3 linked regions of the Canis lupus familiaris genome follow. The protein of the gene in region 3 interacts with the protein of the main gene of each other region in a pairwise test. Links are inferred from orthologs where the notes say so. Each region holds a gene or a part of one and is shown on either strand. Other genes may lie near its edges.

Region 1 (4,396 bases), on a different chromosome or scaffold from region 3:
GTTTGGCTCTGTGCCACCGGCGCCCTCCTGTAACCAATGATCCTTTCCCGCAAGGCCTGGAAAGTGTGGTGTCGGGGCCTCAAGGGTCCAGCCCCTAAACCTGCGCTTCTTTGGGGGTGTCGGGCTCAGGCCCCCGCAGCTCCCGGGCCGCCAGCCCTAGAAGTCCGAGGCCCACTCGGGGGCCGGGAGCCTGAGGAAGGCCTGAGAAGGGGTCCTGCCGCGGCTCCGGCTCACCCAGGTGCCAGAGGGTCACCAGGTGCCAGAAATCCGGAGCCAAAATCTGCGCAGGGGTGGGTTCGGGCGGGGGCAGGCCCGGCTGGGGAGGCGCTGGGGGTTCGAGGCTCCGGCCTTTCAAACTGCAGGCTGAACAGCCAAGTTACCAGAAAATCCACGCAGATGGTTGGTGCTTGGAAACAACTGTGGGAATGGACAGGAGAGGGGAGGGGGGGACGGGGAAGGGAGGGGGAGGTACCTTCTGCGGGTCCCTGGCCCCCCTCCTCCCCCGCTCCCTCCCCTGCTCCCCTCCCCCCTCCTCTGCTTCCTGGTTCCCCCCTGCGCGCCTCCCCTGCTCCCTGCTCTCCCTCCTTGCTTCCCACTCCCCCCTCCCCTGCTCTCCCCTCCCCTGCTCCCACTCCCTCCTCCCCCACCCTCCCCTGCTCCTAGCTCCCCCGCTCCCTCCCCTGCTCCCCACTCCCCCCTCCCCTGCTTCCCACTCTCCCCCTGCTCCCGCTCTCCTGCCCCCTACTCCCCGCTCCCTACTCCCCTGCTTCCTCCCCTCCCTCCCTGCTCTCCCCTCCCCTGCTCCCTGCTCCCCCTACTGCCTCCTCTTCCCCTGGTCCCCTGTTCCCCCCCACTTCGCCCTCCCCCGTGCTCCCCCTGCCCCTCCCTCTCCCCGCCACCCCCCTCCCCTGCTCCCCCCCCCCCCGCTGCCCCCACCCCCTGCTCCCCGCTCCCCCATCCCCACTCCTCCCTCACTCCTCGCTGCTCCCCCGCTCCTCCCTGTTCCCCCCCCCCCCGCTTCCCCTCCTCTCTGCTCCTTCTCCCCCCGCCCCCCTCAGCTGCCCCCGTCGCCCACACCCCCCAGGCCGGCAGCCCCTTACCCCGGCCCCGCGCGGCGGCGGCGCAGGCTCCCACGCCCGGCGGCCTTTTCCCGGCTCCCAACTTCGGCGCCGCCCGCGGCCGCCCGGGGGCAGGTCGGCTCCGGCCGGGGGGTTCGGGGTGGGGGGGGGGCGCGCGCCCGAGCGAGGGGCGCTGTCCGGGGCACGTGCGCGGGAGCGCGCCCGGGAGTGGTCGCGGGGGGCGGGGCGGGGCGGGGGCGCGGGGGGCGGGGGGCGGGGCGGGGCGGGGCGGGGCCGCGGCGGCGCGGACGCCGGGCTGGGGCTGGGCTCGGGCTGGGCTCGGGCTGGGCTGGGCTGGGCTGGGCTGGGCTCGGGCGCTGGCGGCGGCGGCGGGCGGCGGGGCTCGCGCGGGGCAGCGGGAGTTGGCGCGGCGCTGCGGGAGCGGGCGGCGGGCGGCGGGCGGCGGGGCGGGGCGGGGGCAGCTCGCTGGGGCGCCGGCCCGGGAGCCGGAGGAGCGGCGGCGGCGGCGGCGGCGGCACCATGGGCTGCACGCTGAGCGCCGAGGACAAGGCGGCGGTGGAGCGCAGCAAGATGATCGACCGCAACCTGCGGGAGGACGGCGAGAAGGCGGCGCGCGAGGTCAAGCTGCTGCTGCTCGGTGAGCGCCCCGGGACCTCGGGACCTCGGGATCCCGCGCGGACCCCGCCCGGACCCCGGCCCCGACCCCGGACCCGGCCCCGGCCCCGGCCCCGACCCCGACCTGCGCCGCGCGGGCCCGGGGCGCGTCCTGCGGGGCCCGAGCGCCCTCCCCGGGCCGGGCTGCTGCGGGTGCTCGGGGCTGGCGTCCCGGAGACGCGCGCTGCGGAGCTCTGCTCCAGCTTTCGGAAAGAGCCAAAAAACAAAAAAAGAGTAAGCCAGGGTTTTGACGGGAGGATGCATTAGGAAAATGCCCACAGCGTAGGATTTGTGGATCTGACTTGGGGTTTCTTTTGTTCCCTGCCCCCCCCCCCCCCCAGCTCACATGCACCCTATGGCTACTTAGGCAGGTGCAAGGTTTCTCAGAACCTTCATTTGCCCCAGCAGCGACTGCTTCTGCTTTACACCAGCCATAATAAAAGAAATATTACACAAACCTGTTTTCAGTAAGCTCCTGTCTCATTGGTTTAATGACTGCAGGAAAAAATGGTGGTTTTTTTTTTTTTTTTCTCCATTACTAGTAGGCTTAGAAGCAGCAAACTTGGCATGACTAAAAGTAATAATGATCTGAGTCATTTTGCTAGCAAGCTGTGAAATAACTTTGCATCTTAAAGACCTGCTTGGTTTTCTTCACCCTTGTCCCCAGTATAGATCTTTCTCAGTTAGCGCTGTTTACCTAAGTTTTTATGTTAACAAGAAATACCATATTTGGCGGAGGTCAGTGTATTTTCAGTGTACGGAGCATAGAAGAAACACACCTTGACAGGGAAACAGGTAGGTGGTCCGCTTGTGCTGGGAATGTGCCTGAGACATAAAGGAAACAAAAGGAAGATCCCAAAGTTCTTTCCCTGCAGTTTCTGCACTCCTGCTCTGATACGTCCTTTCCGTGGATTTCCCTGTGACCCCAGTTTTGAGCCAGCCATCCACCATGTTTAGAGCCATTGGAAAAGGAGTCCTCTGCTGTCGTTTGATGCTTTCATTAGATGTCTGTTGGAAAGGGATGGGCTGGGATAAAAGTCAGAGGAGTTGGTGTTTGCTTCTGTTTGGAAGAGGTCGGTGTTTCTCAAACGTTAGCTCTATGGGCGTCTTAGGCTGGGTGGTTCTTTGTTGGGCAGGCTGTCTTGTAGGTTGTGGGATGTGTAGCATCCGTGGTGTTCTCTGGCATCTGCCCACGGGATTCCAGTAGCAGCGCCCGCCCTCAACCTTTGATCCTTGAAAATGTCTCCAGATAGTCGGGAGAGTCCCCTGGGGGTAAAGATTAACCTCTGATGAGCAGCGCCTGCATGGACAGGAATAGCTCAATGGGTGAGGTGGAAGTAAAAGTTGCACCTCTACAACCAGCTATAGTGAGAGTGAGGAGGAGGGTGTAGAAGAGTCATGATTTTCAGAAGACATTATGAGATTTTTGTTTTTCTGTACCAGCAATGTTAGATTTCAGAATGATTTTTAAAATTTTTTTAGGTAACTGGATTCCATCAGCTATGTTTTCTCTAGTGTTTTGCTTTTCCCCTTGCATCTCCTCTCTCTGTAGAAATCCTTTGCACCCCTGTCTTGTTGGCCCAGCTCTCCTCCTTACTCCTTATTTTAGTCCTACTCTACCCTTTTGCCCAGGGTCCCAGCACTCTAGTTCCTATAAACAAAATGCTGGCTTATTTCGTAAATGTTATTCTTGGAATGTTTCAAAACATTTTTTTTTTCCCTAATTTGTCTTTAGCAGTGAAGTTTTGACCTTCGGTTCTTTTTTAGATGTTTAAAGTCAAATGTGTAAGTAGCTCGATGAAATCGTCCCATATAAAACACAACTGAATCAAATAGAAATAGAAAATGGTTTTCTAGGTGGTCTATAACCATTGTCACTTCCATTTATATCAGGTCATCTTCCTCTTAATTATTTTAGTTTTTTTCATTACATGAATTCCATTTAAGGCAAAAAGCATCCAAAGTATATTTAAGATAGTAAATAGTTCATTATATTGCATTTTTAAAAAAGATTTCATTTTTTTTTTTCATGAGAGACACAGAGAGGCAGGGGCAGAGGCAGAGGGAGAAGCAGGCTCCTCCCTGCAGGGAGCCCGATGTGGGACTCATCCCAGGACCCCGGGATCACGCCCTGAGCCAAAGGTCCTGAGCCCAGGACCCTGGGATCACGCTGTAACCGCTGATCCTCTCAGGCGTCCCTGCATTTTTTTTTTTTTTCTTGAGGCATATATGTATCGTCTTTTAGACATCTGGGTTGAGAGATTCAGGTATGAGATGCACATTATTAGTAAAAAAAAAAAAATGGTACTGTCTATTATAATTAATTTTTTTTAAATCATATATTTTACTATCCATGTTAGGAGCAGTGAATTAGGCCTTCAAAAAGAGGGACTTAGTTTAATCATTGACCTAAAGGAAATTAGGTCAGGGTTTGAGTGGTTCAAGTCTTTAGGTTTAGTTTTCAGGCATTGGTATGGGAATGATAATCCTAAATAGAAAAACTTATTTTTATAATGACCGTTTCTTTCCATTAGAGATGGCCAATTGCCTGAGGGGAATACATTTCTTATAGTCATACCTTTGAGGATGTTATGGTCTCTCATTGTTTTAAGGGCTACATCATTAGGTTTTGGCTGTGTTTTCAGTGGGACTATATTGCACAT
Region 2 (3,643 bases), on a different chromosome or scaffold from region 3:
GAAGGACATGTTCAATATTGAGTATGTTTGCCAATTTGTGTAATTTTTCAACTTTCCTCTGTCATTTGTTCCTTTATTTAAAATTTTTATCTTTGAAAAGAGAAGAGGGGAATATAGATGTTAGATGAAGTTTCAGAGAAGGATGGGCATAAAGTGTTATTATTAAGAAAGGCAGCTTCTAGAGGAGGGCTATTACTTGGCTGAAGATCTTGAGTTTGACAGCATTAACTGGAGTTCACAATGGTTAGTCTTGTTTTTTGCATACTTTTGGGTGCATGAGTTTTGGAAACACACAAGTATTAGGAGTTTTGGGTTGTGATTTCACCTCTGGTCTGAAATGCTTTTTGCTTGCTAGTTTATTGTCCTAATGACCACTTACGATACAACCAATTGCTCCTTTTCCCTCTTTACTTTTCCTTTACCCAGTAAGTATGGGTATTTTTTTAGTATCTGCATCTTAATAGTTATTTGGAACTCTCCTAAGGCAGATAAATATGAGATTTGAGGTGGGGAGAGCATCCCATGAGATTTCAGTATATGGGGTTTTTTAAAGATTTTATTTATTTATTTTAGTAATCTCTATCTCCAGTGTTGGGCTGAAACTCACAACCCTGAGATCAGAAGCCGCATGCTCTGAATGAGCCAGCCAGGCGCCAGGTTCTGTTCTGTTCCTTTCTCTTCTATCTTGTTTTTAAAGATTGAGACCTGGGTTTGTTTTTAAACTATTTGACAAGTAAGGGTAGGTAGAATAAAGCAAAATAATCAGAGTTCTCATAGCCCTTTTCTGTCCTCTTTACAGTTCATGTTTTAGGTTTAAAAACGTTAGCCACTTATAAAGCTTTTTGACTCATGAGTTTTGATCACATCTCTTTGTAACTTTCTTTTCCTCTTGCTCTTTTCCCCCCCCCCCTCTCTTATTTGAAGGATTATTATTCCTTGGGGAATCTACAAACTGAATTTTGCCCCCAGGGATTTATTTTCCCCCCTAGGCTTCTAGACTTCTTAAATAATTCAGTCTCCTCTTCCTGTTCCTCTGTCTGAGCTGAGGAAGAAGAGAACACTTTCCTTAAACTCCATTAATGTTTTACTCGCTCTGAAGTGTTTAGACTTTACCTCTTACATGCTAGTTTTTTTGTTTCTATTTTTATTGTAGGTTTGTTAACAAAATGGTAATGTGTTACATGTGTTTATATCACAGACCAGGTTTTTTCTGTCAAAAAGCTATGAGTAAGCAGGGTGGAGATATGTAAGCCACTCAGAAGAGATCTTTTTAGGAGATAGTGGTATGTGGTGGGGGGACTGAAATCATTCCTCAGCTCAGCTCTGCACTTCTAACTACAGTGGAATGAGTAGGGGGAGTGACTTCATTGTAAATTCTCTCAGACAGCCCTGCCTGGAAAGATCTCTTCAATACTTCTCTTAAAATAATGAAACATATAATGTGCGTGTCAAGTTCTTTAAGGAGCGGAGAAGCATTCTGTCTCTTAACTTCTTTCTTCAGGATGATGCCCGGCAATTATTTGTTTTGGCTGGCAGTGCCGAAGAAGGAGTCATGACTCTAGAACTAGCAGGAGTGATTAAACGGTTATGGCGAGACGGTGGCGTGCAAGCTTGTTTCAGCAGATCCAGGGAGTATCAGCTCAATGATTCTGCTTCATAGTGAGTAATTTTTCCATAATAGAAAATAATTTGGTGACACTAAGAAAGTTCAGAGTCTGTCCTTGACAAAACCTTAAGTAACAGACACTTTTAGAAGTCTGTTGCATGATTTCAGGTTAGGGTAATTACAAGCCCTTCGTCATTTTGTATGACTTGGAGAACAACATTGCCTCTTGGAATGTAAATGGGAGAATTAGTACCATGAAAAGTAGCTCCATGGTAGTTTATAATAAGTAAGTGAAAGAGGAGAGAAATCTTTTGCAGCTGGATCCTGGATCTCTTCCAATGCAGTTCCTTCTGCATAAGGACTTTGCATTAATTGCCAGCTAGTGAGGGAAATTAGAAATGTGATATCCCTTTTTATGCATCCAACTCTGTGGCTGGCCTGCACTATGGATTTCTCTGGTACTGGTCACCACTAATAAATCTTTGGCCAGATCACAATAGTAGACTTTGTACAGAGAATGTTGAGTCTTAGTAAGAAGTCAAAGCATCTGTTTGTCAAGGGAATTCTGTTAAGTGTTAAATAGTTTGAGAGAATGTGTAATTAATACTTGTGTGAGGCTTTGATGTGCTGATTTTGCCTCTTATACAACATGTGTATATATAAGATCTATATTCTGAATGTAGGTTTTTAATGTGCCTTTTGGAAACTTGGTGAGTTCTTTGTACCTGTATCTATCTCTGTTCTAATTGGAGGCACTTTTAAGTATTAAGGTATTTTCTCCAATATTCACATTTTCCTATCTTTCATTCTTATTTAAGTTGTTGTAGGAAGAAGTTAAATTATATTTGAAAAACTTAGTTATCTTGAAATGAAAACTTAACCTTAGAAAAATTTCAGGATTCTTGCCCACCTTTTTTTTGTTTTTGTCTTCGTTTTTCTTTTTCTTTTTCTTTTTTTTTTTTTTAAATTGGAGTTCAATTTGCCAATATACAGCATATCACCCAGTGTTCATCCCGGCAAGTGCCCCCCTCAGTGCCCGTCACCCAGTCACCCCCCCCCCCCCCACCTACCTTTCCACCACCCCTTGTTCGTTTCCCAGAGTTAGGAGTCTCTCATGTTCTGTCATCCTCACTGATATTTTCACTCATTTTCTCTCCTTTCCCTTTTATTCCCTTTCACTATTTTTTATATTCCCCAAATGAATGGGACCATATAATGTTTGTCCTTCTCTGATTGAATTATTTCACTCAGCATAATACCCTCCAATTCCATCCATGTCGAAGAAATGGTGGGTATTTGTCATTTCTAATCTTGCCCACCTTTTAATATTTTTTAGTTGCATATGTTGGTAGTTTCAATAATTCTCCCAGTAGTCATGAAAGCTAGATTGTTATTATTTTTTATCATACGTTCATTAAGCTCTAAATCCTTCAACTACACCAGAGAACATGTGATTTATAAATTTTTTTTCCTGGGGATCCCTGGGTGGCTCAGCGGTTTGGCGCCTGCCTTCGGCCCAGGGCATGATCCTGGAGTTCCGGGATCGAGTCCCACGTGGGGCTCCCTGCATGGAGCCTGCTTCTCCCTCTCTCTGCCTGTGTCTCTTCCTCTCTCTCTCTCTCTCTCTCTGTCTGTCTCTCATGAATGAATAAATAAAATCTTTTAAATAAAAATATAAAAGTAAATAATTTTTTTTCCATAATATTTGATTGAGACTTGCCTGATTCCTTAACATTGATGGTAGTACTTAGTTTTATAGAGGCTCATTAATGATTCACTTATAATAGTGCTACCTGTTCTTTAGTTTTCTAGCTAAAAACTCTTTAGGAATCTGAAATTACCAAAAATTTAACTTAGCTTTAAAAAAAATTAACTTAGCTTTGAAGCCGTCTTTTAATTAATTCCCTGAATAAATTTCTTGGAAGTATTTACAATATTTTTGACTTAGATTTTAAAAAACCCACAACTTTTTTTTTCCTGAATAAAACCAGAAAATATTCTTATTGAACATAGTTCTCATTTTAATTTTAGTAATTC
Region 3 (3,797 bases):
ATCTGTCACCCCATAATAAAGCTTATCTGAAATGTTAACTTTTTTTTTTTTTTTAAGAGTGGGATGGGAAAAAATATGGGAATGGCTACATAGTGTTTTCAGAATTTTGCGCCCTAAGATCAATGTCATCCCTTTGGATGGAGGTTTTAAGTACAGTTTCAAGAGCAAGAATAAGTAGAGTTGAGGGTACTGTGTTAATTTGGGGTATCATCTGAAAGCAAGAGTCTGGTAGCCCAGGGAGAAACCACACACACACACACACACACCTTCCTCCTCTTCCAAGGGCATTTAATTATTCCTCAGGCCTCAAGATGAAGATGCAGAGAGCATCTCAAACATTATCCACCTTTCAGAAACCTGGTTACTCCTCTTTAATGGTGATAGGCCTGAGACATGGAGGCATGAGGCATTTTGAAAGCTAATAGTAACTTATCATTTATTGAGCATTCCCTATATGCCAAATACTTTTACACATTTAATCCTCACATCAACTCTATAGTAAGGTAGATGCTAAAAAAGCTCCATTTTGCTCTGAGAAACTGAGGCACAGACATTTTATTTGCCAGAGACTGCAAGCATTAAGTGGTAGAACCAGATCTCTTTATTACATTTCATGCTCCAAGCCACTCAGCTGCAAACATAATATGGCTGGTTGCCATTTAGAGGTCCCAAAATATCTCTATCCTGCTCCCACCCTGTGCCAGCCAGCCTGACCAGCAGTGAGACCAAGCCAGAAAGGTGGTTGTCTCCCTATTCCATTCCTACATCTTTTATTCATGGCCAGAGGAAAGTTTCCCCTGCCCCTTGGCTCACATTTGGTACATATCTTGTCCCCTGAATAGACTGTAAGCACCTAGAGGGCAGGGATAACTATTTGATAACTCCATATTTATGGAATAGTGTGTGTTGGTTGGCACCACTGCTAGGGGTATGTGTACATGTTTCATGGCCCAATATCCCTGGATCTGAGTCCTCTGCTTCCCAATGCAACCATGCCCCTCCCAGTTCCCATAAGTCTGCAGGAAACTGGGATACAGGGAAGGGTCAAAGCCTACATTGGGGTCCTCTTAGGAAAGGGACCTGAGGAAGGGAGAGGGGCTCTGAAGAGCAAAACCACTTCCTGTGTAGCTAGTTCCTGTGTTGACAGAAAGAGCTGAAGGGGAGGAGGGGAGTGGAGAGAACAGAGCCTGGCCTTGGGGGGGTCTACTGAGCCTCTGGAGACGAGGAGGCCAAGAGTCCTTCCCCACCATGAACCTCCTCCACTACTGCATCTGGAGGAGCTTTTCCCAGTCTCTGTGTTCCCCTGGGGCAAGAGCGGTCAAGCAAGCAGTTTGGGTGGGAAAAGAGAACTGGAGGAAGTTGAAAGGGATGGGCGGGGCCAGTGGGGGGGCTGACCAGGAACCCAGCTTCCTGCTCAGTACCCAGGCATCCAGCCCCTGGCTCACCCCCACCCCTTCCAGCCCCCACTCCCCTCAGGAACCTAGAGTTCCAGCCCTCCTTCCAAATCCCAGCTATCCCTCCCCCATCAGTTTCTCTCCCCCCAGGGGATGGAGGCCGAGAGACCCCAGGAGGAAGAGGATGGTGAACAGGTGAGCTGCGCACTGGGTCGGGGAGGCTAACACTGGGAGAAAGGGAGGTGATGCGACATAGGGCAGAGACGTACTGACAGGGGATTCAGGGGACTTGGAAGGGCTTGGGCAAACTGAGGCAGGAACAGAGACACAGAGAGAGGAAATGGGCTGTTGGCCCACCACTCCCCCGCCTGACTGGACCGGATGTCTCCCAGCATCAAGGCCCCCATCAGGATGAGCAGGACTGGCCCCCTGTGAATGCCACCACTAGGCCTTGGCGATCTGCTCCTCCGTCCCCTCCTCCTCCAGGGACCCGCCACACAGGTACCCTCACCCGGCCAGGGAGCTCCCTGACCTTGGTGCCCACATCCTTCCTGATCCCATTACCAAGGCCATTCCCATCGTGGGCCCTCTCTCCATCTCCTAACTCCCCACTACTCCCCCTCAGCTCTGACCACAAGTTCCTAATCACCTTGCACCACCACCCCTCCTGTCTGCCAATTTCTCTGGGTCTCTGAGCCCTACCCTTCCTTTCCCCAGCCCTGGGGCCCTGCTCCGCCTCCCTGCTCTCCCTACAGACTGAGCTCCTTCTGGATTTGGTGGCTGAGGCCCAGTCCCGCCGCCTAGAGGAGCAAAGAGCCACCTTCCACATCCCCCAGAACCCCCCAAGCATAGCCCCAGCCCCACTTCGGCCTCTTGAGGAGAGAGAACAGCTCTACAGCACTATCCTCAGTCACCAGGTGAGACGCCTCCCCAGAAGGCAAGACCCAGGCTTGCCAGTTCGTTGGCCCTTGTTGTCTTTTGGGCCCTACTCCTCATTTCCCCAGCATCCACCCCTTTGCCAGGCCTGATCCCCTCCATCCCCATCACAGGTGCCCTATAGACCCCTTTCATCAGCCTTGGCTCCTTTCAGGGCCTATTCCTCTTAAAATATTACCGACAACCTCCCTTCCCTCTACTCCAGAGCCAGCGGATGGAAGCCCAGCGGTCAGAGCCTCCCCTACCCCCAGGGGGACAGGAGCTCCTGGAGTTGCTGCTGAGAGTTCAGGGTGGGGGTCGAATGGAGGAGCAAAGGTCTCGGCCCCCCACACATACCTGCTGAGACTTGAGCCCCTCCCCCCCACCAGGCACTCCGCACTCCTGGGGCTCAAAGCTGGGCAGCCCATTGCATGCCCTCTTCTCCTGCTTGGCAGGGGCGCCAGAGACTGAAGGACCTGGGAGAAATCTCAATATTCATCACCCTCATCCACCTTTCTGGGGAATAGAGGGGGTAAAAGTCCACAAACCCTGGGAATAGTCAAGGTAGGATGGTCATTTGACTCCCTTCGCCAGTACACGGCAGTTTGAAGAGGTGAGAGGATCCTAGCCACTGAGGGACACCCCCTCCTCTGATCCCAAGAAGTGGCTGGAAGTCTTGGTCCTGAGCTGTGGAGACACCCCAGTCAGACACCCATAAGGCAGAATCTGAGGGCTCAGGCCTCCATCTCCCTAGAAAAGGCAAATCTCCCAAGGTTAGGGCCTTGAGACACATTAAGAAGGGAGACAGGGCATTGCAAAAGAGACAGACCATCCTCCCACCCTACCACCAGCACCCCCAGCCCCCAGGACTGAGGGGCCTACAGGCTGTGAACCGACACTTAGCACTGCCCACCCCGCCTCCCCACTGCTGCTCGAGTCTGATGTTCTGGTTGTACGAATAAACGTAATTATCCTCTGGACTAAAAGAAGACTGGTGTTGAGGGCTGTGGGGGAGGGGTACGGGGGGGGCAGGAAGGTGAGGCCAGAGGCCGCCTCTCTCCCTAGCCTGGCGAGAGGCCAGCTCCCCTCCCTGGCTGGTTAATTACTGGCTCATTAAGCAGCGGCTGGAGACTTCCCTAATTATACCCCCCCAGCCCCCCTTTCCTGGTTTTAATTAAGTATAACAGGGAGGGGAGTCATTAGGACAAGAAATATGAACGGAACTGTCTGCGAACCCGGGCATTCTAGCGGCCGGAGTCCACGGCACCTGGAACCCCGACTCGGAGCCCCGGCGGCGGCCCCCCAGCCCCGACCCGCGCCGCCCTCCCGCCCCGGCCTCCGCTCCTCTCCCCCGGCCTCCAGCCTCCTCCCCTCGCCCCCTCGTCCCTCTCCCCTCCTCCACTCGGTCCCAGTTCCTCGGTTTCTGTGTGTCTCTCTCCGCCCCCAGCTCCTCCCCGTTCCTCCTCTCTTCTCCCCTCCTCTTCCTCC

What was found.
Region 1: the proteins of GPSM3 (region 3) and GNAI1 interact in binary tests that used the Homo sapiens proteins (3 or more experiments, as listed by UniProt). The two-hybrid records come from large-scale screens. The link is inferred for Canis lupus familiaris from reciprocal best matches to the Homo sapiens genes GPSM3 and GNAI1.
Region 2: the proteins of GPSM3 (region 3) and GNAI3 interact in binary tests that used the Homo sapiens proteins (3 or more experiments, as listed by UniProt). The two-hybrid records come from large-scale screens. The link is inferred for Canis lupus familiaris from reciprocal best matches to the Homo sapiens genes GPSM3 and GNAI3.

The regions. Positions count from the first base shown.
Region 1 is NC_049239.1:20,150,702-20,155,097, forward strand, and holds the start of GNAI1 (guanine nucleotide-binding protein G(i) subunit alpha-1), read left to right. Parts: upstream 1-1,535; 5' UTR 1,536-1,598; coding exon 1,599-1,716; intron 1,717-4,396. UniProt on the Homo sapiens protein: Guanine nucleotide-binding proteins (G proteins) function as transducers downstream of G protein-coupled receptors (GPCRs) in numerous signaling cascades.
Region 2 is NC_049227.1:42,744,112-42,747,754, reverse strand, and holds part of GNAI3 (guanine nucleotide-binding protein G(i) subunit alpha), read left to right. Parts: intron 1-1,501; coding exon 1,502-1,659; intron 1,660-3,643. UniProt on the Homo sapiens protein: Heterotrimeric guanine nucleotide-binding proteins (G proteins) function as transducers downstream of G protein-coupled receptors (GPCRs) in numerous signaling cascades.
Region 3 is NC_049233.1:1,716,160-1,719,956, reverse strand, and holds GPSM3 (G-protein-signaling modulator 3), read left to right. Parts: upstream 1-1,414; 5' UTR 1,415-1,547; coding exon 1,548-1,588; coding exon of another isoform or gene 1,589-1,589; intron 1,590-1,773; coding exon 1,774-1,895; intron 1,896-2,111; coding exon 2,112-2,311; intron 2,312-2,535; coding exon 2,536-2,673; 3' UTR 2,674-2,764; coding exon of another isoform or gene 2,765-2,836; 3' UTR 2,837-3,295; downstream 3,296-3,797. UniProt on the Homo sapiens protein: Interacts with subunit of G(i) alpha proteins and regulates the activation of G(i) alpha proteins.